Bombyx mori: one gene and its partner. The protein of the gene in region 1 interacts with the protein of each later gene in a pairwise test. Links are inferred from orthologs where the notes say so. Each region holds a gene or a part of one and is shown on either strand. Other genes may lie near its edges.

Evidence for each region.
Region 2: the proteins of cullin-5 (region 1) and transcription elongation factor B polypeptide 3 come close enough for resonance energy transfer, tested with the Homo sapiens proteins (3 studies listed by BioGRID). The link is inferred for Bombyx mori from reciprocal best matches to the Homo sapiens genes CUL5 and ELOA.

What each region holds. Positions count from the first base shown.
Region 1 is NC_085129.1:7,724,558-7,727,687, reverse strand, and holds the end of cullin-5, read right to left. Parts: coding exon 1,893-3,130; intron 773-1,892; coding exon 635-772; 3' UTR 591-634; downstream 1-590. UniProt on the Homo sapiens protein: Core component of multiple cullin-5-RING E3 ubiquitin-protein ligase complexes (ECS complexes, also named CRL5 complexes), which mediate the ubiquitination and subsequent proteasomal degradation of target proteins.
Region 2 is NC_085112.1:7,691,062-7,694,958, reverse strand, and holds the start of transcription elongation factor B polypeptide 3, read right to left. Parts: upstream 2,944-3,897; 5' UTR 2,599-2,943; coding exon 2,527-2,598; intron 1,305-2,526; coding exon 1,106-1,304; intron 894-1,105; coding exon 718-893; intron 1-717. UniProt on the Homo sapiens protein: SIII, also known as elongin, is a general transcription elongation factor that increases the RNA polymerase II transcription elongation past template-encoded arresting sites.

The DNA of each region.
Region 1 (3,130 bases):
AAAAATTAGTCAAAAATGAGGTAATTAACAGTGGTACATTATTTAGAAACTACAGTAATGTCTTAGCACTATTTGGGCCGTTAGGTTGATCACACATCTATTGTAATTAAAGTTGCACATTAAATATTTTTTAGGTCCTCCTCGTAAATATTGGATCGTTAAGTACTGGCGGCCGAGTAATCGCCACAAAAGTTGATTTGGCTAAAATCGCCCTTACGAACCCTGTTTGCACGGAAATTGGAGAAAAAGTAGCATTGAGTAGAAGAGTAGAAAATCACTGGCGGTTAGTATCAATGCATAACTGGTATACCACATGTGCTTTGAAACAAGTTTTGTCAACATATTATTACTTATTTTCAGGTTAATTGGTTGGGGACAAATTCAAGGAGGTACAACTATAGAACCAGCCAACAACTAATTTTATGTTTTTTTTACATTTAATAATGTAAACTATGTTCTATGTATTTAATAAAATATTAACATAATATCAATATGCATTTATGTTACCTACCTTACAATTACTAATAAACAACACATGATATTTTGAACTATTAACAGAGACTACAGATATAGATATATAAACAGAGAAATAGAGTAAATAATTTATTGATTTTATTCATTTACATTATTGACTTTAGGCCATGTATATAAACGTGTTAATATCTTCGTCGTCGCGACGCATATATTTATGTTCAATAAGCCATTCTAATTGCTCTTTTATCATTTTCTTCGATGGTAGAAACATATTTTTTAGAATCTCTACCAGCTCGCTCTGCAAGGAATAAAAATAATAAAAATTTGTTACTTATTTATAAAGAGCGGACGGTTAGCGTGTTATGGTCATATTGTGATGCGTAGAGATGCACGTAAATAGGAGATGTATGGAAATTGTGGTATCCTGCAGGGGAAAAAAGGTCGACCGAAGAAGACATGGATGGAGTGTGAATGACGATATGAGAGAGAGAGGAGTGAGTGTTGAGATGACGGCTGATAGAGGAGAATACAAACATTGGCAGTGTCGATCCCACTTAGTGGTATAAGGTGGAGACAAGGAGAATGTATTTATTAGTGAACAATACAAGAAAAATCTTCAATTGGTGATCTTCGTCACTTCGTCAGCCCTTATCGTCTGAATTTCTGCTGCTTAGAATAAGATGTAATATTTGAATATGTGAACCCAACACACCTTTTCAATTATTTAAATACCATATAACATTTATTGGAGAATTAAGAATCATGAAAGCAATTACGAAAACATTGTCAAAACTTATTTATTTAAGCAAAGGCTTTCTTCCAAACCAATTTATTATACCTAAGTATGTTCAAATTTTTCTTTTGTTAAGTCATGGCAAAATTATAATCAATCATCATTTGTGCAGCATGAACTAGCTCAGTATCTACTTGGTATCAAGTGTGGTTACTGAAATATAAAAACACTACTACCCCATGTGGTAGAAGACCACTTTGCACTATTATGAGTGTAACCTGTAAGGAATACAGTACTTACTGATGCAATCTCCTAACACAAAAAGCTTACCTTAAGTATTTATATACATATTTGTTTTTAGTGGAAAGCATTCATGTACACATGTTTGGAACAGATATTCAAAGTTAACACAGTAAAAGCTCTTTATTCGCGCTTTCACTATTCGCTGATTAAAAAAATGCGACCTAATGCCTACGTTCGCGCCTAAAGATTTCTTGATTCACGAATCTCTATCTCGAAATCTAATCAGTACATACACATTGATATAAAAGATTCCAAGGTAGGAGGTCGAACCGAACATCCTTTGTAAACGCGCTTTTCCATATTCGCAGCATATTTAGGGAAAATATAGCCTGCAAATAGAGCTTTTACTGTACATCGAAACAAAAATATATAAGTTCCATACCTGAAGTGCTGTGTTTGTAATGCGTTTCCTCATCTTTAGTATTTTTATGATTGCCTCTTGAGTCCTCAATATTCTTAGCTGCACAATGGAATGATTATCTTCTATTTGAGATCTCTCTGTACTCAACTGAAGTCTTCCAATCAAATTTATTTTACCCCTACGTTGTGGTTTTCCATTCTTAATAAGCGCAAATTCCTGATTTACCCAAAATATTGTATTCTGGACAAAGTCTTTAGGATTTTGAATCAATGGATCATAGCACAACAATTGCCTTTTTAATTTTGGGAAAGCCACAAGAGACCATAAAGTCCTTCTCAGTTCAGGGTCTGGAAGTTCTGTTGCTAATCTCAAATTTTCATAACTTATTTTTTCCATAGGTCTTTGATTCCATGCAAATAGCACTGCCATTTGAAAAGTTGTAACATCCAAGTCAAAACGACCTACTGAATTAGCAAATGTTATAGTGCCATTGCTCATGTGATGATACCACTGCAATTTTCTACCTGAATGCTTTTTTTTATAAAACTCTTCAACTTCAGGAATATAGTCTTCTAATTCTAGTGGCAGACTTACTGTTACTCTTTCAGATCCACGGGCCCAAGCTCCAGCATTGAGTATTTTAATATTGATGGCATCATGACGAGTTGTGTCTGCCCTAAATTGTGTATTCAGATCCTCACTTACTTTTACATCTTGAAACATTCGTGCTAATTTATTTACATAGTCTGCAGGCATACCTACTTCACGTAACCACTCTACCATATCCTCTTCTTTTTCAGAGTCCGCACTTGAGTCTAATATCAATCTTCTTGTTAAATGAACCTTATGATACCTCATAAATACATCTTTGTTTTCAATATATTTCAAAACTAACAAAACGTCTCTTAATCTTATTTCTATCTGTTCACTAGTTAATCTTTTACTTAGCGGTGTTTTTCGTAATAACATATCACAATAGTTAGCGAGAAGTTCAGGGCACTTGCTTTCAGGAGCTGTACCTTTACTACCACGGGCAAGAGTTGATGAAGGCAACTCAAGTTTAAAAACAGTTGTATCATTTACCACGCATTTATAGGCCTTGTCCCTGGCAGTTAAAAACCTTGGATCATCCAAGAAGGCATCTTTAACTAACATACTAAATTTTCTGAATAAATCCAACAAACGCTCTACATACTTTTCAGAGTCTGTTGTTATGATATCTGCTGATGCAACCATGTCAGCTAAGCCTGCAGATACTA
Region 2 (3,897 bases), on another chromosome or scaffold:
ATGATAGCGTAGTTTTTATCAAAATACAAATAAAACGAGTTAGAAGAAAACAGACTTCAACTTATTTTATCTATATTACATTATATACCACAACATCCTGTTCTCTGATACACCAACCTCAAATTATTGGTTGGTCAAAAGTTGTAAGGTTGACTAAAAACTACATTAAATTGGAGTTTCATATTACATATAACTTCTCTAAGCATCCACTTGAGCAAATTAAATAAATTAAGTCCTTCATATACCTAATCTATTCTACACGACCAACACCAATGTTAATTTAAGCAAAATGAATTTAATTATGCAAATGGCATGGACGATTTTGTTTAAACAGTATTTTTGATGACACAAATCTACACAGAGTGAAAGTAGCTTTATTATATTTTATGGTCTAGGAAAGCCGATTTTATTATGAAATCAAGCTATATTATTATATTACTCTATTATATAAAGTAACCTACACTTGTAATTTTTCCTCCCTAATCCTATTTAACAATCTGATGTATTTAGTTTGATTCTGAAACTACTTCCACTTAAGACATGGAGTTATAAAAACTTTAGCATTTTAAAAATCATGTATGTGTAACCTAACAACTATGCAATGTTATGTTCTTTCACTAGAAACAACCGGATTTTCAAAAAATTAAAACTATGACGTTTACCATTGTTTTATATTCCATTAACCTTGCAATTTTATAAAATATCAATAATATTTACCTCACTGCTATGGCTTTTCCTCTTGCTGCCACCATGGTGGCCATTCATATCTCTGTGAACTTGTTGATTTGTTTTAGGCGCAGTTGAAATGCTTTCCCGATGTTCAGATTGGTTTTTAGTGTATTGACTATTATCAGGTTCTCTATCTTTATCATTTCTCTGCCCATTGTGAGTGTCTGCCAAATTAGATCATAGCAAGTTTTCAAGTAGTAATGTAACAAGGCTACAGGAAAAATCATTTCAAGCTATAAGCAAATATAATAATCTTCCAGTATCTTACTTTTATGAAATTAACTGATAGTATTAGAAGCTATTAATGATAAAAAAAAAATTTTTAGCACCATCACAAAAAGTGGTAATTCATGACAAGTTTTAAAGAATAACTTACTTTCTGTATTTGACTCCCCCTCATTATCGCTTGATTCAGCTGCTACCATTGCTTTCCACTTGTAAACAAGAGCCCTGGCTGCAGGACCAACATCTCCTGGTTCTTTTCGTAATGCATTGACAGTCCGGCCTATACCTGTTTCTTGTAAGTGTTGAACTGTCACATCTAAGTGACTCAGTTTGTCTATGCATTTTAAAATCTAAAAAATAAAGATTTTAAGGTATTATAATATACTATTATAAGGTATACAGGTACAATATCTGGTTTATCACAAGTAATTTATTAGAGGTACTAGGAATTTAATAAGACAATACAAAGTTGTCTGTCCCTCTACAAACACTATTTGTTTATGACAAAGATGTAACCATTTTCCTTTATTGAGTAGATTCTACTTTTCTTCTTTTTCTTTCTTTTCTATTAACCCTATTTTGGACTGGATGGAATGCTTTAAGGCAGCAGCCTTGTCAACAGCGTAAGTCACTATGGGCTAATGACCATTGTTTTGTTTTTTAGCACATAATTACCATGTCTAATTTTAACAGATGCCATAGTTGTTAGCTTTTAACTTCATGCTGTGATAATTGTCATCTCTACTAACAGATTAAAAGCATTGAGTGACAAAAAATAAATTTTGTGCTGTTACAGAAAGTCTCACAAAAACAATGTCTTCGTTGATGCAATAACATTCATTACAATAAATTTGACGAAAAACAGTTGACCACAAATCAGTGTCTAAATTTTGGATCATACAATGAAAACTATTTTCCAAAAATTATATTGCCAAAGTTAGCTAACTTAATTTGAATATTTATTCTTCAGGTTGTTATTCTTATATTTTTATTTCATTACTACAAAACAATACATTTAATTGAAGAATAAATACTTGATTTCAACCGTTCCACTAGGATATTCAAGCTTAATAACTAACGTAAAGGGTTTACTTCTGGTGAATGTTTGTGTTTCATTCAGTCAATTAGATTAATAACTTTTTCGTGATGTTTCACATTGAAATACGATAAGTTATTAATCATTTGTTGCACATTGCCTTTTTATTGTTGATTAATAAAAGTTCAGTAGGGTTATTGTATATTTTTGAGGTCGAGTGCTGATGAATTATATTATATCTGATATATGATTTGCGTTCTGATAGTTATTATAATTATACTTGTATCTTATCTTTATGATTTGTAACATTTATAGTTTATTTAACGTTTTCCTTGTAAAAACTTTAAAGTTTGTCGGAGGACTTTCGTCAGTTTTTTTTTTACTGTATTCAGTATTGATAGCGTTAAAAGTTTCGTTGTAAAACCGTATGTCACCTCACTGCATAATTTGGGTTCAGTAAATATTGAATATATTTCCAATCGACTTCCTATTGCTGTGAAATTCATTAGTCTTCAATATTTGAAAACTTCACTTACTTTCGGTTCGTCGTGAGAATTCTTTTCCAGACTATGTTGGTAGTATTTAACTAATTCTAAAACAGACGCCATTCCAAATGTATATTACAACAAAAGGGTTGATTTTTTTCATCAGACAATGATAGCCACTGCCAGCTGGTAAACGGGCACCATTTTTGTCACTTTTTCATGCGTCAATGACGTTGACTGGTTTTTACCTTTTAGACGGCTTTGGTTTAGGTACTAGTTTTTTTTTGATAATTTTATGACTTGATAACGAGCCCTTTCGCCAAAGCCATTTTTCTTCTTATTTTCTGTTACAATATGAAAAATGATATGAAACGAAATGAGATGAAATTGAATAATTTGAGATGAGATGAATTGAATAAGATGACATTGGATGAATTAAGGTAACAGTAAAATAGTGGTTATTTTCTGAGTTTTTTCATAGGCCTTTTTGAAAGAACCCGAGAAGCTACGACTAGCGGCTTTGTTTCATCGATCACTGGCTCGATGTATCGCTACATTCGAATGCATCGGACCTCTTATCCTTTAGACCACGGCGACTTTTTCCGCGTTTGTGCGCTTTTGCGGATGCTAAACAGTTATTAAACTATATAGCTATTAGACATTTAAACCTGAAAAAGCACTAATTGAACAAAATAAAGCAATTCACATAATTTCGCTCCTCGCATTCGTAGCCAAAAGCTTTTTGGCTTGCTAGTGTAATCTACCAAAGACATTTTTAAATGTTTATTTTCTCTTGAATAGGTACAGAGTACGTTGCTCATACGACAGATCTTTTAAATTGTTTTATTGGCAAAAAGTGTAAAGAAATAGCATATGTTTAAACAGATTTTAAAAAGTGTTTGCTCTTTGACCGCAATGTACCGTTAAATATTTATTTATTTATCGTTTAGGCCACAGACGTTTACTGCTGGACATAGGCCTTCCCCAGGCCTCGCCAGAACGACAGGTCGTTGGTTCCCTTTTTGTGAGGTCTACCTACGCTACGTGTAATATTGCAGCAACGTACAGCTAACATAAAATTAAAGACGTTAAAATTGGCATAAACTTTGGCAAAGCAAGACTATGTTCCGAAAATATTCTAAGCAATTTGAAGATGGAGTTATTCTTCTATGTAATTTGAATGAATTCAAAGTAATTTGTCTAGATTTTAGTCTAAATACGTCAATATTTAGTTCGAGACAAAATCACCTTCGTTTTAAAGATTTTAGGGCCAGGTAACGAGACCTTTAAGCCAAGCCTTATATTATTTTCTTCTTAGATTAAATTGGTAATATGAAAAATGATATGGAACGAATAGAAGTTAAAGTTGTTTTATTTGAGACTGTAATTAATTGGGATAAAATGAAATGAAACAAAATGAGA